Arabidopsis thaliana: one gene and its partners. The protein of the gene in region 1 interacts with the protein of each later gene in a pairwise test. Each region holds a gene or a part of one and is shown in the gene's direction. Other genes may lie near its edges.

What was found.
Region 2: the proteins of SCRM2 (region 1) and MUTE interact in a two-hybrid assay, tested with the Arabidopsis thaliana proteins (one study listed by BioGRID).
Region 3: the proteins of SCRM2 (region 1) and SPCH interact in a two-hybrid assay, tested with the Arabidopsis thaliana proteins (one study listed by BioGRID).
Region 4: the proteins of SCRM2 (region 1) and JAZ4 interact in a two-hybrid assay, tested with the Arabidopsis thaliana proteins (one study listed by BioGRID).

Annotation. Positions count from the first base shown.
Region 1 is NC_003070.9:4,381,680-4,388,815, forward strand, and holds SCRM2 (basic helix-loop-helix (bHLH) DNA-binding superfamily protein), read left to right. Parts: upstream 1-2,624; 5' UTR 2,625-3,078; coding exon 3,079-3,963; coding exon of another isoform or gene 3,964-4,044; coding exon 4,045-4,257; intron 4,258-4,339; coding exon 4,340-4,510; coding exon of another isoform or gene 4,511-4,519; exon of another isoform or gene 4,520-4,629; coding exon 4,630-4,713; 3' UTR 4,714-4,972; downstream 4,973-7,136. Other genes in the region: AT1G12855 (F-box family protein), read left to right, coding at 544-1,932; AT1G12870 (F-box and associated interaction domains-containing protein), read right to left, coding at 5,450-5,557, 6,289-7,136. UniProt on the Arabidopsis thaliana protein: Mediates stomatal differentiation in the epidermis probably by controlling successive roles of SPCH, MUTE, and FAMA. Functions as a dimer with SPCH during stomatal initiation.
Region 2 is NC_003074.8:1,843,424-1,850,146, forward strand, and holds MUTE (basic helix-loop-helix (bHLH) DNA-binding superfamily protein), read left to right. Parts: upstream 1-3,018; 5' UTR 3,019-3,107; coding exon 3,108-3,203; intron 3,204-3,726; coding exon 3,727-4,146; intron 4,147-4,500; coding exon 4,501-4,593; 3' UTR 4,594-4,836; downstream 4,837-6,723. Other genes in the region: MKP2 (MAPK phosphatase 2), read left to right, coding at 94-183, 295-430, 514-634, 998-1,154. UniProt on the Arabidopsis thaliana protein: Transcription factor. Together with FMA and SPCH, regulates the stomata formation. Required for the differentiation of stomatal guard cells, by promoting successive asymmetric cell divisions and the formation of guard mother cells.
Region 3 is NC_003076.8:21,584,807-21,592,794, reverse strand, and holds SPCH (basic helix-loop-helix (bHLH) DNA-binding superfamily protein), read left to right. Parts: upstream 1-3,539; 5' UTR 3,540-3,853; coding exon 3,854-4,252; intron 4,253-4,565; coding exon 4,566-5,195; coding exon of another isoform or gene 5,196-5,222; exon of another isoform or gene 5,223-5,577; intron 5,578-6,123; coding exon 6,124-6,189; 3' UTR 6,190-6,576; downstream 6,577-7,988. UniProt on the Arabidopsis thaliana protein: Transcription factor acting as an integration node for stomata and brassinosteroid (BR) signaling pathways to control stomatal initiation and development. Activates transcription when in the presence of SCRM/ICE1.
Region 4 is NC_003070.9:17,928,235-17,936,222, forward strand, and holds JAZ4 (jasmonate-zim-domain protein 4), read left to right. Parts: upstream 1-3,155; 5' UTR 3,156-3,423; coding exon 3,424-3,499; intron 3,500-4,365; exon of another isoform or gene 4,366-4,745; coding exon 4,746-4,918; intron 4,919-5,039; coding exon 5,040-5,203; intron 5,204-5,297; coding exon 5,298-5,382; intron 5,383-5,584; coding exon 5,585-5,852; intron 5,853-5,953; coding exon 5,954-6,014; coding exon of another isoform or gene 6,015-6,021; exon of another isoform or gene 6,022-6,093; coding exon 6,094-6,199; 3' UTR 6,200-6,428; downstream 6,429-7,988. Other genes in the region: AT1G48490 (Protein kinase superfamily protein), read right to left, coding at 1-363; AT1G48510 (Surfeit locus 1 cytochrome c oxidase biogenesis protein), read left to right, coding at 6,655-6,799, 6,885-6,976, 7,063-7,292, 7,535-7,727, 7,818-7,988. UniProt on the Arabidopsis thaliana protein: Repressor of jasmonate responses. Interacts with and suppresses RHD6 and RSL1 transcription factor activities to negatively regulate jasmonate-stimulated root hair development.

The DNA of each region.
Region 1 (7,136 bases):
CAGTTAGAGGGTTCAGAATCTTAACGACCCGGCCCAAACCATAATTTATGTTTTTTACTACTTAATTATTAAAACGAAAATTCAATTAAAATGTATGCAACTAAGAAATACAAATCTATTCAAAATGAAGTATCTAATATTTTGTATCTATTAATATACAAAATATATATATCATAAATCACGATAAACATAAATATATATTTACTAATCTTGATAGTCATTAATACAAACTGATTATCTAATTAATAATATAAAATTGAATACCTTCAATATTGATTATATATAAAAATTACTTAATATTTTTTTATTTCACACATAGTGCAGATATGTGAAATAGTTTCTCTCAATTATATTAATTAGCCAATAAGCTTATTTATACAAGAATGTTACTTGCATAGCAAGCAAGTTCTTTAGATTTATGATAATACTAAATCTACCTATTTAATAACAAGAATATATTTTACAATATGAATTTTACTTTCAAGTCGATCTCGTAATCCCCTAAATCTCCTAATAAAAAAATCTAGTATTTATAAAAGTGGGATGGAGAGTAGAGAGGATTCATTCATATCAAAAGAGAAGAAATCAACTATGAAAAAAGAAAAACAAGCGATTGCATCACAAAGAAATAGAAGAAGAGTAATTAAAAATAGAGGAAACGGGAAGCGATTGATTGCATCATTATCACAACGAAAGAGAAGAAGAATACCTAGAGGAAGAGGAAACGAGAAGGCAGTGTTTGCACCATCATCACTACCAAACGATGTTGTAGAGGAAATCTTCTTACGACTTCCGGTGAAAGCAATAATCCAACTAAAGTCTCTCTCAAAACAATGGAGATCGACGATCGAGTCTCGCAGTTTTGAAGAGAGACACTTGAAGATCGTCGAGCGATCACGCGTGGATTTTCCACAGGTCATGGTCATGTCTGAAGAATATTCCTTGAAAGGAAGTAAAGGTAATCAGCCTCGTCCAGATACAGACATTGGTTTTAGTACAATCTGTTTGGAATCGGCTTCTATTCTGTCCTCCACTCTTATCACTTTCCCTCAAGGATTTCAACACCGGATCTATGCTTCTGAAAGCTGTGACGGACTTTTCTGCATCCATTCCCTAAAAACACAAGCCATATATGTAGTTAACCCGGCCACTCGGTGGTTTCGACAACTTCCTCCGGCTAGGTTTCAGATTTTGATGCAAAAGTTATACCCCACTCAAGACACTTGGATTGACATAAAACCAGTAGTCTGTTATACAGCATTCGTGAAGGCCAATGATTACAAATTAGTGTGGTTGTATAATTCTGATGCCTCGAATCCAAACCTGGGAGTTACAAAGTGCGAGGTTTTTGATTTTAGGGCAAACGCTTGGAGGTACTTGACTTGCACTCCAAGCTATCGGATATTCCCTGACCAAGTACCAGCAGCTACAAACGGGTCTATTTATTGGTTCACGGAACCATATAATGGCGAAATAAAAGTGGTAGCTCTCGATATTCACACTGAAACGTTTCGTGTGCTACCTAAGATTAATCCGGCCATTGCTAGTTCAGATCCTGACCATATCGACATGTGCACTTTGGATAATGGTTTGTGCATGTCGAAAAGAGAATCGGATACGTTGGTCCAAGAGATATGGAGGTTAAAATCATCAGAAGACTCATGGGAGAAGGTTTATACCATAGATTTGCTTTCTTGTTCTTCTTCTTCTTTATCTGAGTTCCGCGATGGATTTAATTGGACACGAAAAGATTTGGTTGAGCCATCCACACCAGTGGCGATATGCAAGGACAAGAAGATTCTGCTCTCACATCGCTATGCCCGCAATATGATCAAATACGATCCCCAAATAAAATCTATCAGTTTAATTTACCAACCTCCTTTGTGTAGAAGATATGCTTCTTATTTTCAGAGTTTGATCTCTCATATATAAAATGCTTTGATGTATTTGGAAGCATGTAATGTAAGAAACAAAGCATTAATTGTTTGGATTGTTATATTATCCGATAGCATGCTGTTATTCATAAATCATAATAAACCATACTTATTTCGCCAAATGACACTATACTTACCAAAAATCATACTACTTTATGAAATGATACAGATTTTTCAAAAAAATGAGGACGAGTATTTTCGTTAATCCACACAAAAATCAGTTTCATTCTGTGTGTGGATGTAAAAGGAAGATGAAATATAGATTTTATCTTAAAGGGACCATTGCCTCGTTGTTAAAAAAAAGGGACCATTGCATCCGACATCTTTTATCCGTATTAATCTTGAAATGTTTATTCAATATACTTTGTTGCAAGATTTTTTTTTATTCAATATACTTTTGTTATTCATGTCAAAAAAAATTTGATTAATAGCCAATCTATGTAACAATCTAAACACAAGTTTGCCGCTACAATTAATATGAGTCTATGACACACATCACAAAGTTTTGAGAGATTAAAATTCTTTAGTCCCAAATACTTCAAATATAGAAAAAAACTACAATTTTTCTTTTCAAAATTTGTTTATTTTACGGTGACAATTTTTATGATTGCCAACCAAATCCCACATTATTAAGTTTTTCAACCAAACTGAACTGTATACTTATTTTGATTATTAACGGTCGGATTTAGCTTTAACTAAATCATCTTCCTAAGCTCTATCACTGAAATAATTCTGCAGACAAAAAAAAATGAGAGAGAGGTGGCAAAGATGAAGTGGAGGTGAGAGACGGAAAGCAAAAACAATAGTCACGAGAATCAACACCAACTCTTAAACCAAGATAGACCAAGAAACCAAACAGAGTAAATAAATGGTGGCCTTGACAACATTGAAATCCCCAAAAATCTCAACTTTTTAGGGTTTTCGAGCTCTGAAATCTCTCTATCTTTCTTCTTCAGATTTCTCACTTTTTTCTTCTTCATAAGATCCTCGTGATTCCACTTTATAACGTACGCCTCCTTTCAAGAAAAATCTCTCTCTATATTATCTACGTTTCTCTCGCCTTGTCTCCTTTTGAGGTTCCATTTCTACTTCTCTCCAAAATTCGAAACTTTTCCCACTCTCTCTCTCTCTCTACTAGTTTGACATGAACAGCGACGGTGTTTGGCTTGACGGCTCCGGTGAATCTCCGGAAGTTAATAACGGTGAAGCTGCGTCTTGGGTCAGAAACCCAGATGAAGACTGGTTCAATAACCCACCACCACCACAACACACTAATCAAAACGACTTCAGATTCAATGGTGGCTTTCCTTTAAACCCCTCAGAGAATCTGCTTCTTCTTCTTCAGCAATCGATTGATTCTTCTTCTTCTTCTTCTCCGTTATTACATCCTTTCACACTCGACGCTGCTTCACAGCAACAACAACAACAACAACAACAACAGGAACAGTCTTTCTTAGCTACGAAAGCTTGTATAGTTTCTCTTCTCAACGTCCCAACCATCAATAACAACACTTTCGATGACTTCGGCTTTGACTCTGGTTTCTTAGGACAACAATTCCATGGAAATCATCAATCTCCGAACTCGATGAATTTCACTGGCTTAAACCACTCAGTACCGGATTTTCTTCCAGCTCCGGAAAACAGCTCAGGATCATGTGGATTGAGTCCTCTGTTCTCAAACAGAGCAAAGGTTTTAAAACCGTTACAGGTAATGGCTTCATCTGGCTCGCAGCCAACTCTGTTTCAGAAACGAGCTGCAATGCGTCAGAGCTCGAGTAGCAAAATGTGCAATTCTGAGAGTTCTTCTGAAATGAGGAAATCGAGCTACGAGAGAGAGATTGACGATACTAGTACCGGAATCATCGATATCTCTGGATTGAATTACGAATCTGATGACCATAATACTAATAACAACAAAGGTAAGAAGAAAGGAATGCCTGCAAAGAATCTTATGGCTGAGAGAAGAAGAAGGAAGAAGCTTAATGATAGGCTTTACATGCTTAGATCAGTTGTTCCCAAGATCAGCAAAGTAACCAAAAAGATTCTTCCTTTTTTCTCTTTGTTCTCCTTAATAACTTCTTGTGTCACTAATTTTGGGTTGCAAATGTAGATGGATAGAGCATCAATACTTGGAGATGCTATTGATTACCTCAAAGAGCTTTTACAAAGAATCAACGATCTTCACACCGAACTTGAATCTACTCCACCGAGTTCTTCAAGCTTGCATCCGTTAACACCGACTCCACAAACGCTGTCTTACCGTGTTAAGGAAGAGTTGTGTCCATCTTCCTCCTTGCCAAGTCCTAAAGGCCAACAACCAAGAGTAAGAATAAGCTCAATTGCTTTCTAGTGGACAAAGCTGTATTCTTTAATTTTCTTAGTAACGCTTCTTTGTTTTGATATAGGTTGAGGTTAGATTAAGAGAAGGAAAGGCAGTGAACATACACATGTTCTGTGGACGTAGACCAGGTCTTTTACTTTCCACCATGAGAGCTTTGGATAACTTAGGATTGGATGTTCAACAAGCGGTGATTAGCTGTTTCAATGGTTTTGCTTTGGATGTTTTCCGCGCTGAGGTAATATAGTTGTTAAGATGCTATGCTGATCACTGATTAGTAAAACTAGCAGTCAAAGAATAGTTATTTGAGAGAATGATTAGTATACAAGTAACAACATGTTTTGTGTTTCTAATCAGCAATGTCAAGAAGACCATGACGTGTTACCTGAACAAATCAAAGCAGTGCTTTTAGATACAGCAGGTTACGCTGGTTTGGTTTGATTGCGAAGCAGAAGGAAGCATCTGTGTGGAACAGAGCTAGATCTAAGTCCTTGTTCTGTTTTAGTCAGCAATTTTCTTACTTAGTTTCATCAATTTCAATCATGTATGGAAGATGATAACTGTTTTATTTTAGCTATGAGAACATGTGTTTGGGGAACAATAGTTGCAACCTTTGAGCAAAATGCCATTGTTTCTCAATAATTCTACTTTGCTTTTCATTTATATGTTGTTTGCAAGAAGAGAGCAATGTTGATTTTCATTGATAAAACACACATGAGTCTGTCATGAGAAAAGGCTAAACAAAATATTAAGAAATGCACAATTCATAGGCAAACGCTCTGATATATCAATTTTTCAGAACAGAGATGAATCTCTATGTAAAATTCATATTCTTTATAAATGTCTGAGCTTGGTTCAGTTTAGTAAGATTTGGTTTGTGCCGTGGGCGACTGAAGATGTTAAAGACAAAAACATAATGGAACCAGATAAACTTGGCTAATTGGTAAGAATTAAAAGAAAATCTATGGTATAAATCTTCTCCCATGTGTCTTCTGATGATTTCTTCAGCCTCCAAATATTTTGGATCAGCTTATCTCCTTCTCTTTTCGACATGCACAAAGCATTATCCAGAGTGTATATATGGCTAGGATCTAAACTAGCAATAGCGGGAACTATCTTTGGCAGCAACCGGAATTTTTCTGTAATGATATCGAAAACTATTACTTTGATTTCAGCATTATATAGCTCTGTGAACCAATAAAGCGTCCCGTTTACAGATGCTGGCTTTTGGGCATGGTATATTCGATAACTTGGCGTGCAATTCAAGTACCTCCAAGCGTTTACCCTAAAATCAAAAACCTCACACTTGGTAAGTCCTTCGTTTGGACTCGTGGCATCAGAATGAGACGCATTAGAATTATAAAACCACACTTATTTGTATAATTTGCATCCATCTCTATTGTTTTGAGAGAGACTTTAGTCGAATTAGTGATTTCACAGGAAGTCTCAAGAAGATTTCCTCTACAACGTCGTTTACTAGATAGGGAAGTGAGAAATCATAATTCATGAGCAAAGCTTTTCTTGATGCATTTGCAACACCTTAAGAATATCTGATGGTTAATGATTTTAATCATGTTCATTGTTGGATAATCAACATGTCCAAAAACATGAGGTGATAATATGATCCAACAAAAGAGAGATTTCAAATATGTAATCAACTTAATGTCATTGACTTTCTGCAATGAGCTCAAGAAGAGCAATTGCTAGGCAAATTTTGAATCTTTGGATATGATGAGTAGGCTTTTTGAACTTTGTCTTGATTTTGATGTCTAAAAGATATATAAGTGTAGCCTCGTTCATTCTAAATAACAACAAACGTATAATGGAAGCAAAAATAAAAACACACATAATCGGTAAAAAATACAATGAGTTCTTTCTTTCATGCTTCAAAACGCATCAAAATAATTAGTAGTATTTTATTTAAATATGAGAAATCAAACTTGGAAAATAAGGAACAGATCTTAAACACAAAAATTGTCTGAAAAATGAGCAAAGAGATCCTGTTTGGGAATTTACCAGATTGCAGGTATAGCGATGTGAGAGTATGATCTTCTTGTCCTTGTATATCGCCACCGGTGTGGATGACTCAACCAAATCCTTTTGGGTCCAATAACATAATCTGGTCAAATTATATCCATCGAGAACATGGAAATGGCAATAAGAAGAAGAAAGCAGATTTATGGTATAAATCTTCTCCCATGCGTCTTCCGATGATTTCAACCTCCAAATCTCTTGGATGATCTTCTTATCCCCTTCTGTTTCGTACATGCACAAACTATTATCTATAATGCACATGTCAATATGGCTAGGCTCTGAACTAGCAATAAGGCTAGGCTTAGGCAGCAACCGAAATATTTCGGTGTGAATATCCAAAGCTATTACTTTGATTTCTGCATTATATGTTTCCGTGAACCAATAAAGCGTCCCGTTTGCAGATGCTGGCTTTTGGTCATGATATATTCGATAACTTGGTATGCAAGTCAAGTATCTCCAAGCGTTTGCCTTAAAATCAAAAACCTCGCACTTAGTAACTCTCGAGGCATCAGAGTTATACAACCACACTAATTTGTAATCAGTGGCCTTCACGAATGCTAGATGATTGACTGGTATCATGTCTCTCAAAGTATCTAGAGTGGGGTTTAACTTGTGCATAAAGATCTGAAACCTAGCCGGAGGAAGTTGTCGGAACCAACGTGTTGCTGGATTAACTACATATATGTCTTGTGTTTTTGGGGAATGAATGCAGAAAATTCCGTCACAGCTTTCAGAAGCGTAGATGGGATGATGGAATCCGCGAGGGAAATTGAAAAGAGCAGAGGATAAAAAACTAACTGATTCCAAAGAGATAGTCCTAAAACTAATCT
Region 2 (6,723 bases), on another chromosome or scaffold:
TTAAATATTAATTACGAATCTAGGGTTATTTATCTTTCTGATTAAGAGTTTTCGTCTGTACAAGTGGAATTTTGAAAAAAGAAGCAGAGAGCGATGGAGAAAGTGGTTGATCTCTTCGGAGTCGGAGAAGCTAATTCCCAGAAGCTACTCGAAGGAGGCAAAGATCTCAGCGAGATCCAACAGGTTTTCTTCGTTTCTCTTCTCTATCTATCCGTCTAATTTCACACTTGGAATTTCTCAGGTTTTGGAGTCTTTAATTCCGAAAAATCGTTTGTTGGATGAGTTTATTCTCAGGGATTGTTCATAGGATCAGTAGCTGAAGCGAATAACAAGGATTTTCTCAAAAGCTCTAATATCACTCATGTCTTAACCGTTGCTGTGGCCTTGGCTCCTCCTTATCCTGATGATTTTGTCTACAAAGTCATTGAAGGTTGGGTTTTTTTTCTTCAATCCTTAGCCTGTTTTTGAAATTTTTCGTTTAGAGATTTTATAAACTTGTTCTTCATCGTGTAGTGGTTGATAGATCCGAGACCGATTTGACAGTATATTTCGATGAGTGTTATAGCTTCATCGACCAAGCTATTCAATCTGGTGGTGGTGTTTTGGTTCATTGCTTCATGGGAATGTCTAGGAGGTTTTGATTCTTTTGCCCTTAAATCTCATACATTCAGTTATTAGATTTAGTGTTTAAGAATCATCAATGTGAACCAATTGCAAATTATGTAACCATATCAAAAAAGTGTATATAAATTGCCAACTGAGTAACCATAGGAAACTACAGAGACTCAGATTGGCAAAAGTGTATATGAATCTTGTAGTTTGCTTTGATTCTTTTATAGCTTGCTGATTCTGGTATTAGTAGGAGTTATGGTAGTGAACAGATTACATTTTGTTGTGGACAAATTAAGAGTTTTTCTTGAACCTGTAATTTGCTTATTGTGTCGTTCTGTTATATATATACTTACACAATTTGATTGGTTTGAGTTTTTCTTTGAAGTGTGACTATAGTGGTGGCTTACCTGATGAAAAAGCATGGAATGGGATTCTCTAAAGCTATGGAACTTGTAAGGAGCCGACGACATCAGGCATATCCTAATCCCGGTTTCATTTCGCAGCTCCAGCAATTTGAAAAATCCATCCAAGGTAATGCATGATTGCTTCAGCTGATAAGAAGATTCAAGATAGTGGCATGATGAACTCTCATGAAATTCCGGCAAGTGTCTTCAGCCCCATGTTGGCCAAAAAAGTTGATTGGTTTCGTGCTGTGAAGGATTTTTTCTTGTGAACTATTGATGGTGAGCACTTTGCCATGTCCATTAGCCAATTGAAATGAATGAAAACGCAGAATTTACATTTCCTCTGTTACTACAATGAATATATTTTCTAGGAGGATCAGTGTGAATTTAACCAAACCAATCCCATACCCAAACCAGACTGAAAATTGGTTGGTTTGGTTTTCGACCCTTGCATTGAATGTTAACCGATATCTTGATCGAACGTGAGTTTTTTTTTTTTTTTTTCTTGTTTCATTGCCTTGTCGATCAATATTGTATATAACGTGATAGACCATGAACAAATTGAATATCGAAGTAGGAGTTAGATTTCTTTACTCGTAATTAAATGGGGCATGCACCTTGCATGTCTTATACGTATTGTAGCCTAACATTTGCGGCTACAAACATTTGTCACCAACATTTTCATTCCAGCTGCTTCCACAGTTTTGGGACTTCGGAGATAATGTATATGTGGATATGCATATATGAACCATAAAAATAAACGTTTGTCCAAACAAAACCACAAATAGAAGTGTTATCCAAGTGGGTTTGTTTCATAGAAAAAATATTGTCACTATAGCAATTTTTTTGGTTAGGTTAAACCTTATTTAATGAAGTTTGTAATATGAATTGAGATATTGTTAACTTTGCAAAACAGAGCCGAAATTTTACGAATATCTCTTTATTAAAAATAAATAATATAATTTAAGAATACTTCTCGGGAGGAATCTTAATGAGCCGTCCAGGTAGCTGAACAACTGAACTTTATCTTTGCTCCAAAGGTTATATCAATTTATGTTTTCTTGTAGAACCTATATTTCATGCAAAAAGTTATCCATTAACCAATGGAAATTGGTTCCGACTAGTGATCAAGGAAAATGATGGAATCATCACGAATGAGAAATTTGTGGTATTAAATGACATAGTGATTAAGGAAAACAAAAAGTTGTAATTCAACTACAAACTATGTCGTAACTATTTATATTTTGTTACTTGTCAATGTTGTCATTTATCTTACAAAGTCAATAGGATAGAAGATGTGAAACATAATTACACAAAAACGATGTCATATAGAAACATGCGAAATCACATAATCATTTCATCACTTCGAAATTTCGTAGATTTCCAATCAGATACTACCCAATATGTTTGCTAATAGTAAGTAGTAAAAAACATATGTTACGCCAAAAAAAACGGCTTTTGATGTACTTATTTTCCTTCATCGATCCATGAAAACTGTAAAACATCTCAATACAAACTAAACCTTTCCACCAGTATATGTCCGATTCAATGTTTTTTTACTTTGTGTATGTATCAGTGTATTATCTGTTAATAAAGAGTAAAAGAAATCCATTTTTTCTTGTGAGGACACGCGGTAATTAAGAACAAAGAAGTGGCACAAGTGTAGAAATTAAACTAGAAGTAAAAGAAGGTGGTGCAAAGGCATGCACTCTAAATGAAAATACGATATTGAAATTCATAAAAGACCTCACGCAGTGAATGTAAATGTAAATGTATCCAACTTCACAAACGTGACGTATCTTTGTGTATGCATACCTTTTTCTTTACGTTGTTCTAATACATATCGATAGTAATAAGAGAGAGAAAGAGAAAAATCAAGAAGAGACAAAAGAATGTCACGAGACAGCGACATAGTGCATTTATGAACCTTGAAAAGAAATTCTAAACCCTAATTATCACTTGTTGTTGCGGCTGTATAAATACGACTTTGTTTTGAAGAATGTGTCGAACAAAGTGAAAACATAAGATCATCTTCTTCGTTGATAGATCAATATAGGAACTCCAGAAGAGAATCTTGATCAATTAAGTATCATGTCTCACATCGCTGTTGAAAGGAATCGAAGAAGGCAAATGAACGAGCATCTTAAATCCCTTCGTTCTTTGACTCCTTGTTTCTACATCAAAAGGGTAAATTTCATATTTATCTGTTCGATCCCTTCATAGTCAATTAGCTAGTTTGGATGATATAGAAAAAAGAACTCAATTCACAATCCTAATTATTTTCTCGAAGAGATTGGTATTTTTTTAATGATCGTTGCTTTCTTTTGTTGAAGTTATTTCGTAGAGGTTGATTCAAGATTTATTCCAATTTATTTATACAGACAATTGAACCTTCTCAAATTGCTTATTTAATAGGATCCCAGATAAAATTGTGCAGGAACCAAAAATCTCTTAGATACTTATAATTGGATCATGCATGATAATCTTTCTAATATTGGATTTCCCAACTTACTATTTTTGGAAGAAAACAAAATGTTGTGGCATACATATATAGTTAATCCTATATTCTCACTGTCAGACTTCCTTGTTTGTATATGTTATGCATAGACTGTATATTTCTCTTTGGTAACTTTCTTTAAACAAACTACTCGGATGCACCAATCTGTTTAATAATCATGTGGTCTTGTTTTCTATGATTGATCGGTATTAGGGAGATCAAGCTTCGATCATCGGAGGAGTGATAGAGTTCATCAAAGAGTTGCAGCAATTGGTTCAAGTTCTTGAGTCCAAGAAACGTCGAAAGACCCTAAACCGACCATCTTTCCCTTATGATCACCAGACAATCGAGCCATCCAGTTTAGGAGCCGCCACTACCCGAGTACCGTTTAGTCGAATCGAAAATGTGATGACCACAAGTACTTTCAAGGAAGTAGGAGCATGCTGTAACTCCCCTCATGCTAACGTAGAAGCAAAGATTTCAGGTTCTAATGTTGTATTGAGAGTTGTCTCTAGGCGAATCGTGGGGCAGCTCGTAAAGATCATCTCTGTCTTAGAGAAGCTATCTTTTCAAGTTCTTCACCTCAATATTAGTAGCATGGAGGAGACTGTCTTATACTTTTTCGTTGTTAAGGTACATATCTTCATCTACATACAAATTAAATACATTGTTAGTCAATATATTGAACAACCGATAAAACTCATTATATCTATCATGAAATTAGATGGAATTTGGTGTTATAGAACTATTACAAAGTAAAATGCTCCTAATGAATGATCAAACACCAATTATTGCTAAACCGATGTCTTGCATCGATTTAGTTACTTAACCAAATTATGACTATTTAACTTGATTTGTACTTCTTTAATTTACACCAAAAGATATATCAATATTATTAGTTAAGCTCAATGTATATATATATGGATCAGATAATATTTGTATGAGTCTTTTGTTTTGAATTCGACGGAATTAAATTTACATGTGCAGATAGGATTGGAGTGTCACTTAAGCTTGGAGGAGCTAACTCTTGAAGTTCAGAAAAGCTTTGTGTCTGATGAAGTGATCGTCTCTACCAATTAAAAACAAAATTCTACATGTACTAGAGCGTGTATCGTTTTTTGGGATTAATAATCATATAATCGTTACATGAGCCTTGATACTTTGCTAGAAATAAGCTCCTCTAAACAAAACCTTCTTTTTAAAAAAACACACTTATGTTTTACTTAGTTTGTTGTTGTATCCGAAGTTGATCAACGTTGTAATTTCCCACAATAAATCATGACATTTTATATGCTCTAATTAACTAGTATAATATAGTTCTGAATCATCCGAATGTAAATGTGTGTTTGTGTGTAGTCATACTTAAATTGTAACACTATATTATTTGGTAGCATTTTTTTCGTTTTTTTCTCGACATATTATTTGGAGCCTAGTGATCAAAATTGTGTGTATCAACGCTACATATGTAGAGCTTTAAGAAATCTTTAAACATGTTTTAAGATTGCAAGGTTTATATACATTCATAAATAAATATTACCTTGACTTTTTTTTTTGTTTTTTTTTTCTAAGTCAAAACTATATATTACCTAGTACCTACATTCTGGACGTAAACTTTTTTGGAAATAATTTTGTAATTTTTATCTTTTGTAAAACTTTATGATAATAAATGTAGATAAAAATAAATATACACATATTGTATATAAATGACCAAAGCCCGAAAGGCTGGGAAGGGAGTGATAACAATTAAAAGAAAATGAAAAGATAATAAAAGGTGGGGATTTGGTGAAGTGAGGCCTCACCTGTTTCTTGGTTAATTATCCAATTTGTCACGTGGTGCTTCCAGAACCATGCATGTCTGGCGATTGTGACATCTTCATATGTAAAATTTGTTTTTTTAACGATATCGTACATATAAAAATACTTCTTCAAGTACAGCTCCATTTCTGACCGTTCAATCTATGGCAAAGGCAGACTTTTTCCGATCCTTCACCGTCTCGGATTTAGTTTTCTCACCATTGAAGATCTAATTTTCCTACCTTTCTCCATGAGACGCTTTCCTTTAGGTCTCGGGGTGCTGATTTTGCTTCACCGCCGTTCGTGGTAAGGAGTATTTTGGTTTTGTTTCCTTTTGTGAGAGTTTCTAGTCTCAGATCTGTTGATTCTATGTTTGTTTTACACTTTGTATTTCTGGTTTTGAATATCAGGATTATGAGTCCGGAAAGTATTTGTTCAGATATGATGTATTTGTAGCTTGGGTTTTTTCCCCTTTAGTTTGATCTTGTATTCGGGAGTTTTCATTTGCTTGCCGACTTTAATCTCTACAAGGATTGTTTCCTTGTCGGCCTTTGTAATCATGTGACTCTAAATTTTATCAATAAAATCCTTATTCTACTAAGAAAAAAAAAAAACATTTACTTGTTTGCAATTCATTTCTCAAACAAGTTTAAACCAACCTTATTTATTTAACATAATTTTAAAGTAAAAATCCTAAATTTTACAAAAATTTCTGCGTTAAAAATATGGAACCGTTTTTTCTGTAAAATATTTTTTTTAAAAAGTACAAAATGATTTTTATTGTGAAACGAAAAGAATATTGTTACTTAACGAAAAAATGATTTTTTAAATATTACTTGTGAAAATCTCTTCTTTTTTTCTTTTCTTTTTTGCGTCTGATTTGATTTATATACAATACATAATAATTGACACATAAATTTTTATATATAGATACTACATTATATATATGTAAGAAAATTAGTGCAAAAACGTATGACGTAAATGATCGGTATCACGAAATGTGGCACACTCTGAGTTGTCAATATTCAATTATATTATACATCAATCCATTATCCATATTGACCCACCAAACAAAAATCTCACTGCCTTTCATTATTAATCTCACTTTCTTTCCAAATCCTCTTTTCTATTTAGTTTAATCCCAATTTTTTAATCTATTCTCGTGACTGCATTCGTGTCCCTTTTATTTGATTCTTCATCCCTCGATCTTTGTTTAATCGGCGCATCAAACGAGACGAATATTTTAATTTTTCCTTAAACAACTATTAATATGAGACTGAGAGCATGTAAAATGTAAATTAGTGACTAGTTGAAATTTTCATGGATTTATTTAAATCAATACAAATTATGGATACCATTTATCCTTTGGCATGTATACTCAGTAGACTTTGTTTTTCTTAAAGTCTGATGCACCAT
Region 3 (7,988 bases), on another chromosome or scaffold:
TTATGCGTTCATATATAGATGATAGACTTAACAGGTGATAACGAACGCTCATATTGTGTTATAATTATTATTTTCTATATGAATGTAAATTTCATCAGGGAATGAGAAAGTTTTGTAAGGATTTATAAAATTGACTTTACCCGATATATGTGTTATTTGATGCGCTATATGTGTTTGCTATTTTTAACCCAAGCTTGATTAATCGAAAAATAAGAAGTGTTATTTGAGTGCTACGAGACGTTAATTAATTCGAGTCTAGTGCTACATTGGAGAATGAATAATTTACGGCGATAAAATTTTATTAAGTTTTTCAAGAGTAAAAAAAAAAATCTGAATTTGGTAGTGTTGGATATATCTAGAAAGACTACATTGCCAAAGACCGTTACATCCTTGCTAACAAAAGAGAAGGAAAAAAATTGTTTACGCGAAACGGAAGTGTTTAGCTTCTTTCTTGTATATAAAAAACAGTGTATTACTTTTAGCAAAACCTCAAACTTATCTCCTAATTTGTATCTCTTCAATGAATTATCGAATGAGTAAGTGACGACGATCACACTAACAGAAATCTTAATTCTCGACCATATGGAATTTAAATTCTATTCTACTGCGACCACTTATTGGGTTTGATGATAGCTAGATGCCTAGATTACATAGAAAAAAAGAGAGAAAGAGAGCTTAAATTATTCCATTTTATAAAATGTTTTAGAAATCAACAAATAAAAAATAATGTAAAACTTTATTTAACTTGATGTGTTATGATCATTTGTATTGTGCAAAGTATTTTATTATTGATTAAATTACTTTTACTTATATATTATATAGTTTTTAATGTAACAAAAATCTAAAATTTATGTCATTTCTTGATCTCCATTTTTATCTAAAGCATCTTATACATCAAAACAAAAGAAGTATAATTTATGTTATTTCTTAATCTATATGTTCCTAGAAAAAACAACTATGAATCAAAATAGAAGGAAGTACTATAAATTGTGTGATCCAAAAATCGAGTGCGAGTAATTTTGGAAGCCATATTGAGATCTACACAGGATTTAAATCTTAGGAACCGAGCTTGAGTTGGTGCTACGTTTAAAAAGAGATTCATCTGTCAAAAGCATGTCGTGGTCTCACGATAATCGGATATATGTACATCAGTACATGCTAATAGTTCATAACTTCACCACCGTGACCATCTAGAATCCCCAACTAAAATATCCAACTATAATTTAAAAATAAATTTGAAAGTATATCCTATAAACGTTTTACAAAACCAAAACCGAAACAAGATCATCACTGCGATAAGGAGATGTTGTGTATATATATGCTTATACTCCATCATACATGCATCCATGATTTCACATACATATACATGATGCATGTGGATGAATGAAGAATTGTAGAATCTCGGGCACGGAGAAGGCGTGTCCGGTCATTGAAAGCCGCCCACCATCTTTATTATATTTGTTTCCGAAGTACTGATCTTTCTGCTCAACTTGCAGATTTTGATTTCTGCGCAACTTGCAACTTTCTCATTCTCAGTTTTTTTCTCTGAATAATTGCTTCAAAAGTCAATTATTATTGTTATTATAAAAAGGCAATAAATTTCAGAGTAGTCATATATTCATTCTTTTAGTCTGTCGAGTTTTTGTTTGTTTGTTTTTGATTAGTAATCATCGGAACCAACTCATGACACGACTTCTTAATCGAGACTGCAGGAAGAATATAATCAACGTTTTGTTATGTCATATAAATAAAATGAATTTATGTCAATCTCTTTTTTGTTGTTGTAGTAATGTAACGGGCAACAGTGTTATAGAAATGTAGATTTTGATTTGCGAAATAAATAGAGCAAGACAAAACTGTACGAAAATTGAAAACATGTCATAGTCTCCATAAAAGGGTATCTATATATCCGTATATATATGAAATTGAATAATACCTTGGATCCGAGTCATATCAAATTAATATCCTGCATGCATGAATAATTAAACTTTAGTTACATTACTATGTCCGCTAAATCAAAATCACTGACAAATATCTTGTTTATTTTGTACAGTGTAATAAGTTTGTCCGGGTTGGTTAAAATCGAAAATTGAATTGGGATTCTTAAAATCTATTTTGTTTTAAGATCAGTTTGGTGTTTGACAAAAAAGAAGAAGATCAGTTTGGAATGTGTCACATAAGAACATGTAATTAAAAGTAATTTTCATCATTATATAAGCATTGCATTAAGAAAAACATAGTTTTTTCTAATTGCTGATGTTTCATTAATTTGGGCTAGAAACAAAGCATAAAGGAGAAGAGACCCGTTACTAAAAAGACATGGTCAGGTAAATAATATCTGACAGCCAACTCATTAACTTCAAACCTAACGACTACCTGGTTTGTCTTGGCTCCATCTTCTTAAATTTTCGTTTATTTTCTAAAACATTTGAATGGATTATCAAAAAAGAAAATGTCAAGCAATATTTATATTTATGTACAAATATTTCAAAAACTTTTGAAAGGGAAAGTTCAAATGAAGGGTGGCTCCTCAAGATGCAATTTGATTTTGATGAGACAAAATGAGGCACGTCTAGTATGACATCAACTATTTATTGCCTTAGATCTATCCCTTGTCTTTTGTTTTCTTGAAAACAAATTCGTTTGCTCCCTGTATCAATATAAAGATTAACTTACAAAAGAGGTGATATATATATATATATATACACATTATATCCCATCTTATTAATAATGCTTACTAATATTGCTAAATTCATATTCTATTTTGGGTTGGTTTTATAAGAAATTGAATTCTTATGCCATCTCATCAGGTGTTTATGAAATATGTTAGGGATCCAGTTGAACTGAACTAACATTACTAAATTGAATTAATTAAATTGTATGTATGGCTCGGGAAAGAAGAAGGAACGGATTTTCTTTCAGAATTGTGGAATCGAATTTTGTTCTTCTTTTTGGGCTTAAATGTTGGTTAGATTACACCATGACATAAACAAAGGCCAAAGTATATGCTTTAAGTGAAAATCTGTATTTTTAAATCGACTGGCGATAACATGTCTGAAATTGGTCTATCAATCATAAAAAGTCTCTAAATATGTATCTTTTTATTTTTTGAATAATGAATGATCTATAATGTGAATGTACAACACATCATTCAATTGATTGTCTCACGATTGAGGCGCTAAAATAAATGTGAACTCACTAATTTCAAATGTTTTTTTTTTGTTTGTTTTTTTGTATATATATATACTTGGAAACCGGGATTGGTCGGACCATATTCGCAACCCGAACATATACGTAAATTAAATACAAAGAACGTACATGTCCGTGTTTATGTGTATTACATGTTTGTGTGTACAAAAAACAATTATACCGAGCTTGTGATTATTCAAAATTTTACCCCCATAAAAATCTTTTCCTAAGGAATTTATGTATCTTTCCCTTTGCAATATGCAACCTTTATCTCTGTAATATAAAGTATACAATAAGACGTACCATATATATATATGTAGATGCATATTTATATCTAAAACATAAATGAGACACGAAAAACCTAGATCCTCCCCCAAATTTCATCCAACGGCACAAACCGCATAATAAATAACCCTATCAAAATATAATAATAAAAATTGAAATTTGATAGCGATAGTTTAGTCCTCGATGAATGCGAGTCCCTCATATTTACTCCTTTTGGCATTCACTCTCTTTATTTCTCTTTCTCAACTTGATATGTCTTTTGGCGTCTCTTTCTTTCCCTAAATCTTTCTTTTATTTTGCTGTTTAAAAAAAAAATCCAACCATAAGACAAAACAACGAACGAGGAAGAGAGAGAGAGAAGGATATATCTCTAATCACGATGCAGGAGATAATACCGGATTTTCTTGAAGAGTGTGAATTTGTCGACACTTCACTAGCCGGAGATGATCTATTTGCCATCTTAGAGAGTCTTGAAGGTGCCGGAGAGATATCTCCGACAGCTGCATCTACACCTAAAGATGGAACCACAAGTTCCAAGGAGTTAGTTAAGGATCAAGATTATGAAAACTCATCTCCTAAGAGGAAAAAGCAAAGACTAGAAACCAGGAAAGAAGAGGACGAAGAAGAAGAAGACGGAGACGGAGAAGCAGAAGAAGATAATAAGCAAGATGGGCAACAAAAGATGTCTCATGTAACCGTGGAACGTAACCGGAGAAAGCAAATGAACGAGCACTTAACCGTTTTGCGTTCTCTTATGCCTTGTTTCTACGTCAAACGGGTATATTCAATACATCCATAGATTTTACTAGTCAGTATGTGAGTTTCTGGTAGTGCCCGACTAATTAATACTATTCGTTCAACTAATCTTTTTGGTATACCTAACTATCATATTCATATATCATTTCTTAGTAACATCAAAAGTATCATGCATATCTATGTTTTTTTAGGAATAATGACAATTATAATGACATTTTGGTCCCACTAATCATCTCTTTTTCTTTTCTTTCTTTCATGTCACAATGAGATATATAGAATGTTCATATTGACTTATATTTTCTTTATTTCCTCTTAAACCAACCTATTAAAAAAAGGGGGACCAAGCATCGATCATAGGAGGAGTTGTGGAGTACATAAGCGAGTTACAACAAGTTCTCCAATCTTTGGAAGCCAAGAAACAACGTAAAACCTACGCCGAAGTCCTAAGCCCGAGAGTTGTCCCGAGCCCTCGTCCTTCACCGCCTGTTCTAAGCCCAAGAAAACCGCCTCTTAGCCCGCGCATCAACCACCACCAGATTCACCACCACCTACTTCTCCCTCCCATAAGTCCTCGAACACCTCAGCCAACAAGCCCATACCGGGCCATTCCACCGCAACTACCACTCATCCCACAGCCTCCGCTTCGCTCTTACAGCTCATTGGCCAGTTGCAGCAGCTTAGGAGATCCACCTCCATACTCTCCTGCTTCATCTTCTTCATCTCCTTCAGTTAGTAGTAACCATGAGAGTAGTGTGATCAATGAGCTTGTTGCTAACTCAAAATCGGCTTTGGCTGATGTGGAAGTGAAGTTTTCAGGAGCTAACGTGCTGCTCAAAACGGTGTCGCATAAGATCCCGGGACAAGTTATGAAGATAATTGCTGCTCTTGAAGATTTGGCTCTTGAGATTCTTCAGGTTAATATTAACACCGTCGACGAAACCATGCTTAATTCTTTCACCATCAAGGTACGTACGAATAATCATCCTAATTAATTTTCACTGACTTGTTTTTTTTGTCTCTATTCATAAGTGTAATTCATACATTTATTTTCTTACATAGGATATATGGTGGGGGAAGAAATGGGTAGGGTAGTGTAATAAGTAATAATTCATTGAGATTCACATAAACTCATACACACTTTCGATATATATGAAATTTAATGTATGATTCTAATCTACATTATATATATATAGATAGATATATATATCATTATATAAAACGTAGGGTATGTGTATGTCAGATTCCTCACAAACATACAAAACTAAACTGTTCGTTGTTTTATACTACTTTTACTAAAACTCTTCTCTAATTTATACATTTGACTTTCTTAAAAAAAACGGTGTGAAAGAACACGTGTTTAAATATTATATAAATTATACGTGAACATTGAAGAGCCCCCAAAATCTTCAATTTTAAATTCGAAAGGAATTATTCTATATATTTGGAAATTATTCAAATAGATCAAGCTGCTGAAGTTTATAAGTGTCAAGACTTAGTTTCTATTTTTGATAAGTACTTAAATTTGTTCAATGAAGAATTTCTACAATGGATGTTTTAGTATTGATGATTTGATTATCGAAAAAAACAAGATCAGAGATCAAGTAGGGATACTATTAACTATGTCTCGCAAGTATAGATATTTGGTAATTAAGTTCCTTAGAATAGGTGATTATGTTGAGACGAGAACAGATCTTTTTTTTTTTTAATAATAGTTAAATTTGTTTCTTTTTCGTTGGGAGTTTAGTGCCTCGAGAAATATAGAGCTACTCAGAATGAAATTAATTGAAAACACTTATTTTTGTATAAATTATATTTTTTTTCATATCATCTTTTTTTTTTTTGTTAAAGAACAATTATCAATGTATACTTCTCTATCTTTTTTTCTTTTGATAGATTGGAATTGAGTGCCAACTAAGTGCAGAAGAACTGGCTCAACAAATTCAGCAAACATTCTGCTAGTAAAGAAGGATTTAATATAGCTTCGTATAAACCTTAACGAGAGAGCAGTACGTACTCACTTTCTCTCCTTAGTATCCCTTTAATTATCTTTTCAGTTTTCTGCAAAGATATGGAGTTTAAAAAAATAAAATTGTTATCTAAAGTTTTAATCAAATATTGATTAATTATAACTAATATAGGTATAAGTGAGTTTTAAAGATTATCAGCTTCATAACAGCCATCGTCATGTTTACTTTCTTTTAAATTTTAGAATTTAGACGTACTCCTACCATGTAATTTTATTTCTGTCATTACATCAAGCATTGTAGCTGTAATTGCATATGAATGAACAATAGTGTATGAGTGATCTCATGAATAATATTCTTCTTGCAACACAAAATGTTAAGGGATATATTTTTTTGTAAATAGAAAGAATGATTCTACATGCCGCAGCAAATGTTCTGAAAATCAAAAGAGTGGATGTTAAAAAAAAAAAAAAACTAAAATGATTGTACCTTTTATAAACTCTTAAAAGATGTTCTTTTTGGGTGAAAGTATGGATTATTTTGTCTCAAAAAAAGAATTATGTAAATATATACACATTTATATTGTATATATATATATATTTGTGTAAGAACTAATTTAAATGTCTCGTTTCACATTTTATCAGTAGAATCATATTTTACATCATGTTTGGGATGTGAGAAAATGTTTAATTGTTGTTATGCAACTATGCAAGGCAAGTCTGTGCACAAACTAATTTGGAATATGCAACTTAAACCACAATAAATTCGGATTTTACACAAACTAAGCTTATAATAAAATTATAGCCATGCTCATATTTTTTTGTAGATGTTGCATCCAATCTCAACATTTAGATGCAACATCGAATCATCCATGTTCAACATCAACATATTGTTGGGTTTAAAACTTTTGACTGTGAAACTTCGTGTGGCTGGTTTAGAGATCAACCAAACCCCAAAACTGATGGTGGTGAATATCCCTAGCTATTCAAATTGTAGTTTGTAGATATCCGATTTTTTTTTTTTTTCCGTCACTTTGTAGATATCCGAATTATCAATACATTCTCTGAAATGGATAGTCCTAACGCAGTGTATCCACTACTGGTGAACTTACAACTGGGCTGTAAAAACTGAAATTGGGCATTTTTTATCGGCCCATAGTTTTACCTTTACTTGTATTGGTCGAGTGACGTTGATAATCTGTCGTACCTTGTTAAATAATGGGCTAAAATAATTGGGACACTATTGGGCCTAAAAGCTTTAACTAAGATTGTGATTTGTGAGTTTATGTGAAACGACATATAGCTGAAGAATTGAATCGTTTGGTTCGTAATCATGAAAATCATATAATGGAAAATTCTATCCGTTAAATCCTGTCCATGAAAAGTTAGTTTTAGACGCAAACCGTCCGTTCATTAGTCGTTTACCAATGAGAATCACGTTTTTTAAATAGACGTTTAGGATGATCTCATATAGTACTTTTTATCGTGTTGGTAGAAAGTTTTCAAACTGATAATTTTTTGTATGAAAGGCAATACTATATATAGATTCTTTATTTCTTAAAACGTTTATAGAAAAATTAAGTTCATACTTCATACTTCATAGTCCTACATATATATAGCTAGTGCAAGCATGTAACACCTAATATTTAAGTGATTGTGAAAATAAGTGTTCATAACTTTTGGTTAGAATTGGATCGGGGTTTTTATTTTAGTTACATTTTTTTTAAAGTATAGATACATTATGTCATTAATTCTGTAATAATTTTTTTAAGTAGTTTCTTCAAAATATACTAGT
Region 4 (7,988 bases), about 14 Mb from region 1:
CTTGATTCTATTCAAACCCAAAGATGAAGCCATGATAGGCGAAACCGACGCCGGCGATTCCTCCTTCACGTCAGAAGTCGCCGGCGTTTCAGTAATTGGTTTCTTCGCCTCGGAACCAGAAGATGACGAGTTTGATTTGCCTGGACTAGAAGAGTGAACTTCTAACGAAGCTTCTTTACCCTTCGCTGAGACATGCTTCTTCGTATTAGGGCTCCGAGTTTCCTCTTTAGAATTTGATTTCGGTTTCTTCTTATCGGATCGAATCGGAGAATCGGAGCCAACAGATCGTGGACTGTTGCTGCTACTGGGACTAGAAGATCTCGATTTCTTCGAGGAGAAGAAGAGTTTGCTCTTGAACACCATATTTGACTTCTCTCGAGAGATTTCCAAACCTCAAACCTTACCACAACAAACACGTTACGGCAAAATTCCAAAACGCCATATCCAATTCAAAAGCAAAATCTCTTCTCGCTATGTCTCTTACCTTCAATCTCCGTTACGATTTCAAAAACTTAAGAAAATTCAAAACCAAGCTTTCGATGAATGGACGAAGAAGACGACGGACGTAACTGTTAAGTGGGACACTAATCTTTTATTAAAGCCTAAAACGAAGAAGATTAGGGAAACAAATAGTCAAACCTGTTAAAGACGAAACTTGACTATGATTAAACGTTAATGACTTTCAAACTGAAGATTAAGTACTAAGGACTGCATTTTCTTATTTTATATGCATAAATGAGTAAAGTAGATAAGACTATGAATGAAGAAAACAAAAAAGATAAGACTATGAATATAATTTCTTGAAGATTTTATCATAAATGAATTTATTGTGACTTGAAGAGTTTTAAATTTTTGGAGAAAAATAGAAAGAAATTACATAGTTTTGAATTTTTTGATATTATATAGAAGCTTTCGCCTTTCGCGCGTAATTTTAAATATTTAAATTAATAAATCTAACTAATTTTAATTATCGTTGTGATTTTATATGTTCATACTAAATCGTGTAATAATTTATTATGTATGTACAAAAGTTATAGTTTTGAATTTTTGATTAATAAAAGATATTTCGGTCGTATTTTTGTTTATAATTGAGTTAATCAATCCAACTAATTTTTAATTTTTCATTATCGTTGCAGTCAAATAACATTTTTTTTTCTTTCGAAAATTTAGCTTTAATTAATATTAGAAACTTTTGGGCATATTATTATTTATATATGAATAAAGAAATCTAACAAATTTTCAACACTGCTGGAATTTGATATATTTGCACCCACTAAAGTAATAATTGTTAGATACAAATTTGAATAGTTATAGTTATATTTAATGTTAGAAGATAATATCTATATAAATTATTTGATATGGACCTAATAGATAATTTTTGTAATTATTTACTTCTAATTAAACTAATTCAGATTTTTCGAATAACAAGTATTTTTATTTATTTCTTACTAAATTAATTCAGATTTTTATAATAAAAATATGTTAAAACTTTTTCTTTTTGAATTTAATGTTAAATTATATTAAAAAGAAAAATAAACTTGTTACATATGAAATGCTAATTGTTTTGAGAGTTTTTTTAAAGAAAAGGAACTTCTAATTGTCTATTATCTATTGCCTTGATTCAAAGTTTTAAACCAAACTTGGATGCCATCTTTGAACTTCAATCCTCCACTACCTTGAATTGTGCTCAAACGGTTTCTAAGATTCTTGTCTATAATCTTCACAAGTATTTCCGTCGGTGATGATTGCTCCCCATGCCTGATGCCTCCTCCTATTTTGTTCATTCCAAATTGAGTGTATAGAGTTCTGTCTGTAGTGCATACCTAAGTATGTAGCTCTTCGTTTTGTATAGAAGGTTTTTAGATAAAGTTTTCATAACCTCTGTCCAACTCGCCGAATATCTGTCCGAGAGAATTCCCCTTGTTAAGTCTTCCCATATCTTTTTTGAGTAGGCGCAGTGGAAAAATAAGTGTTCCTTCGTCTCTCTACCTGTTCATTGCAAAAAATGCAACTCGAATCTACATTACATACCACTTTCTCATTGTCTCTCTACTCAAATTCTGTTTTTCACAACCAACCAAGTAAAAAGGGATACTTTGGAGTAACGTATGGGAACCATATCTCATTGTGTCCCTCTATCGACAACTTTGCTAAAACTTGTGTTCAACGTTCTCTTTTTGTTATGTTTTTTCTTTTTAAAATCTGGAACCTATATAAAATCAGCTTATTAGAATATATTTATAAACTTTAATTTTTAATTTTAAAAATATTATATGGTAATGACTTATATAATCTCAAGAAGAATTGTTTTTTCCATAATTCGTATGGAGCCTTATATTTTTTTGGTCTGGCTCTGGTTCTATGTGGCAAGTTTTGCAGCTTGCTCATAAATTCATAATGCCAAGGGTAAGCTCCATACACTCGAACTTGGTATGAACATGGGAGCTCAGCAGTGTACATGTACTTGTAATTTAACCTCATGACTATTAACTCTTACAGTTCCGAAAATAACCTCTTTCTTAGGAACTCTTAGGGTTTATCCAAAAACAAAAATACTTTGATATATTAACAAACGAAATCTAACAACAGTAAAAGAGGAAGTTCTCCGTATGGGAGAACCAATACGAAGCATAAATGCTAGATTTTAACAAATGAAATCTAGCCTTTTTAACAAGGACATGAGCATACCAAAAAAAACTTTAAACGAGAAAAACCATCAATCTCTATAAAAAAGAAGGCCATTCATCCGGGATGGCTACGATCTATAGGTTAATTCTTATCTAAAAAAAACATTAATCAAAGATAAATCAATAATGAGGCACTGCATGACCCAAAGCAAGAATTCAAACTTTGTATGAAGAGGGATCGAGACGACGGTGAAAGCTCTTCTCAACCACATTATTACCATGTTTTGTTGTGTAGAATGAATGAGTCAATGACTCAATGCACTACAAATAATTGCTCTCTTTTAACTTGAGAATAAGGGTTCTTATTATAATGCTTATCAGCTTTAAATATAAAAATAAATAATGTAAAACATTATTTTAAGTTTGATATTAACGACATATTTATATATTTATATATTTATATCCAAGTTGTTCAAAATAAAAATAAATATATATATTTATATCCGATGATTGAATTTCTAATATTGGAAGTTTATTCCGGAACAGGAAAGCAGACGTGGGATATACACATACCGCATCGGATGATTTATATTAAAAAAATATATGTATACATCATTAGAGGAATCATAAATCGGCGGTGTGTGTAACTTCAACTCACGTTTTTCATTTCTCTCCAAAGTCCTTCAATTGTTACTAATTCTCTCTGATCTCTCATTTCTTCTCTTCTCCGGTGACATTTTTTTTCTCCCCCGCGAAAGCTAAACCGTTTTTGTATTCTCAACGATTGATAAGCCTGATGGAGAGAGATTTTCTCGGGCTGGGATCAAAGTTATCTCCGATAACTGTGAAGGAGGAAACTAACGAAGATTCAGGTAATTCATCTTCAACATCTTCCATTATGATCTGATGATTGTGTTTTTCATCTCACTTTTTTTTGTTTCTATTTTTGTAATCTCTTTTTTTGTTTATTGTTCAAGTACATATATATTGTTTTTCTAGCTTGATTGGGAGTCCTACTGTCTGGTTTTTTCTTGAACAAGAAATTTTTTCTTCGTTTTCTCGGGAAGAGAAAAAATAAATTAGGGTTTCTTTTTTCTTGATATATATTTAAGAAATTAGGTTTTAGTACTATAGACAGAAATTTAGCTACTCGAATTTGTTTGACGTAGCCGATGAAAAAACACGTTTTGGGACTCGATAGTTAGAAAATTCATACGTTCACGATCTACTTTTGAAGTTTTTTTCATTAAATATTTTTTGCAAACTACAAATGTACAAGTATACAACTATACAAGCAAACACCAAACTTGTTGACGTTAGTAATTTAACAAGTGTTAGTATTATCTTTGAAAAATAATATTCAGAGAACAAACTTGATTTTCTAGGTGACTAGGTGATGCATGTTTCTAAAGCTGTTGGTAATGTTGAGTGTTTTCAAAATAATTTCGTTTTTTTCTTCAAACAGCCGACACCGACAGAACAAAAATGCTATATTTTTTTTGTTGCTTACAAAATTGATCAATTGGTTTCAATACAATAGTATCTTCTTTAGAAAAGATTGTTTTTTTCAAAGCCGGATTGAATATTGAGAATTAGAACATTGGCTGGTTATTCTTTTTGAAAAGTTTATGCCATTTTTTAAGGTTTATTAAGCAACTTGAATTCTATCAGTATTATTTAAAAACGAAGACGTGAAATGTTGGGAAAAGAATGCGTTATATAGCGACCGGCTGACGATTAGAGATTTAACAACAAATGCAAGTTGAATTATATAAAAGCAAGATTGATTGTGACTTGATTAAGTTTTATTTCTATCCAAGTAGACTCATTGATTAAGTTAGGATCATGTTGGGTATTAAATTTAGATCAAGTTACAATTTGGATGAATAATTTACTTACCCACGAGGAATTTAATAGTTAGTTCTTGTCTTTTTATATTCCGAAACGTGCCATTTCTTGAAAGTATTTGTATGATCACTATTTTCCCCAGTGTGTTTGGCTTTATGCAGATTTGTTCATTGTTGATGAATCTAATGTTAAGAGTCGTCCACTTTAGCATAGCTAGATCTGAGTGTTTCCTAGTTTGATAAAATCTAAAGACATTTGCTCATGTTTCAGCCCCAAGTAGAGGTATGATGGATTGGTCATTCTCAAGCAAAGTCGGTTCTGGTCCTCAGTTTCTTTCTTTTGGGACATCCCAACAAGAAACGCGTGTAAACACAGTCAATGATCATTTGCTTTCTTCTGCTGCAATGGATCAAAACCAGAGAACTTACTTCAGCTCACTACAGGTTAGGCTATTTCTTGAAAAGAAAAAAAGTAGTGATAAAGTGTGATTTAGTGACCTTGTAAGAAAGCTTGGCAATTGGTTTAGTTTCTTCTGGTCTCAAAATTGATACAAAATGATCTCAGGAAGACAGAGTGTTCCCAGGTTCCAGTCAGCAAGACCAAACAACCATCACAGTCTCCATGTCCGAACCAAACTACATCAACAGTTTCATAAACCACCAACATTTAGGAGGATCTCCTATCATGGCACCTCCAGTTTCAGTATTTCCTGCTCCAACCACTATTAGGCATGCACTGCATTCTATCTTCTTCTGTTTAACATCAGATACAGAACCTCTTTACTTCTATAGTTGACTCGAGCTCCTTTATGTTCATCTCCAGATCTTCTTCAAAACCACTTCCCCCTCAGTTGACAATCTTTTATGCCGGTTCAGTATTAGTTTACCAAGACATAGCTCCTGAAAAGGTAACCAAATTTCCTTCAATATGTGTTACATTACAGTCCAAGCTATCCACTGACTAAGTATTCAATCAAAGAAATAAGTTTCACGTATAGACATGCTGAAGTTATAGAAAGTTACTAACCTGGTTTCAACATACAGTATGTTAATGATTCATAGATATGATAAATCTTTGTCCTTACTTCTTCATTTATTTTGTATTCATAGGCCCAAGCTATCATGTTGCTAGCCGGAAATGGACCTCATGCTAAACCGGTTTCACAACCTAAACCTCAAAAACTGGTTCATCACTCTCTTCCAACCACTGATCCTCCAACTATGCCTCCTAGTTTCCTGCCTTCCATCTCTTACATTGTCTCTGAAACCAGAAGTAGTGGATCCAACGGGGTTACTGGACTTGGACCAACAAAAACAAAGGCGAGTTTAGCATCCACGCGCAACAACCAAACTGCTGCCTTCTCTATGGCTCCAACAGGTTATAAATGAAGTCTTAACTCCTATTAATGTTTTGTCATCAAACTTCTATCTTAGGTTTAGTTTGTTATAACCAAAAAATCTTGCTATGATTTAATACAGTGGGTTTACCACAAACACGCAAAGCATCCTTGGCTCGGTTCTTAGAGAAACGCAAAGAAAGGTACTGAGCTACAAGATTATTCACTTATTCACAATATCAAAACACAGGTTTGCTGTATATTGGCTTCGTTTTCTTGCAGGGTCATTAACGTATCACCTTATTACGTAGACAACAAGTCATCAATAGACTGTAGAACACTGATGTCTGAATGTGTAAGCTGTCCTCCAGCTCATCATCTGCACTAAAACCAATTTAGACCCCTCATTGTTCTAAAGGCTTTTTCTTTTTTCTCTGGCTCTGTATCCTATAGACTATAGTATAGTTGTTATAGCTTTTGTTTATTCAGATTTTAGTACACTGGGCTTGTAAAAGCAAGTTATTTATATATATCCTATAAATTTAATTTGGATACTGTATGTTTTGTCTTTACTCTTGCATGTGTATAAAAAACATAAAAGTAAGACTATTCAAGCTCTTCTAGATTTTGTTGAAGTCAACTTTATGTTTATACTTTTTTTTCGATAATTGATATAAAATATTTCCACCAGCAGATGAAAGTCATTTAATTAGTTGGTGCCATGTGCTATATCAGAAAATAAAACATTAGTTTATATACTTAATCAGTCCTCGTCGTCGTCGCCATATATAGTAGATCAAGAATCTTGGATGAGACAAAGAGAAGATCCTGGAGGAGAAAAAGATGACAAAACTCGTTTCCAAGATATTTAAGAGGTTGATTTCTCAAAGTCAGTACATGTCTTCTTCTACTACTAGCAATCTCCCTGCTGCTTCACAAACTTCCAATCTTGAGAGCCAATTGCTTTCTTCAGCTCCACCACCCGCAAGTATCTTGCACATGCTCTCTCTCGTCTAATTTGTGATTAAGTTCTGAATCTTGGTTCTGAATCTTTGTGTAAAAATGTTTTGCAGAGAAGAAAAGAGGGTCAGCGTTGTTATGGTACTTAGTTGGATTCACTACTTATGGTCTCGGTGAGACGTATAAGTTCCTACAAACACAAGTGGTCTGTGATTTTCATTATATACATTTTAATTATACGTGTTGTTCTTTGATCTGCTAAAGAATTTGTTCAAACTCTTTTGTTTCAAGTACAAGGAACATCTTGATTCTAGAAAACAATGCTTGGAAATGAAACCAATGAAGCTGAATACAACGAAAGATTTGGATGGGTTAGGATTTCGACGGGTGGTATGCAAAGGCATTTTCGATGAGCAAAGATCGATCTATGTGGGTCCAAAGCCTAGATCCATGTCTAAAAGTTCTGAAATTGGCTTTTATGTCATTACACCTCTTTTGCCAATCCCTAATGAACCTAATAGGTCAGGGATTTACTCTCTATATGCGCAAACCAAACTAAAGTCTTTTTGATCTCCATATATACCATCTTGATGCAAATATCTTTTTTCTTGTATATTTAAGTGTTTGGATGCAACATCTAGACTAGATGCAAATACTTGCAAATTTTGTGTCTCTTACAAATAAGGTTGCATACAAATGCACCAAAACAAACAAACAAACAAACATGGTCTAACTATCTTTTTCTTCTTCCTTTTGTCACTAGTATGAAGTCCCCTATTCTAGTAAATCGCGGATGGGTTCCTTCGGATTGGAAAGAAAATTCTCTAGAATCTCTAGGTACTGGTGGTCTTGTTGCTGCTGCAAAAGAGTCAAGAAAAGCTAATAAACTTCTCTCCTCTCAACAAAGTCTCTTGTCGAAGTTCTGGTACAAGTTGAACAACCCAATGATTGTTGAGGTTGGTCTTCATTTCATAAACTTAATGAGTACTCAATCATTCATTGCATGATTTGATATCATAGTTAAGTGTTATTGGAATATTTTTTAGCAGGACCAAGTCTCTAGGGCTATGCATGTGGAAGTGGTGGGTGTAGTTAGGAAAAGTGAAACTCCAGGCATATATACTCTAGTAAATTATCCAAGTTCGCTTGCGTGGTTCTACCTTGACGTTCCTAAACTAGCTCTAGCCATGGGGTTTGGTGAGGACACAATGTATATA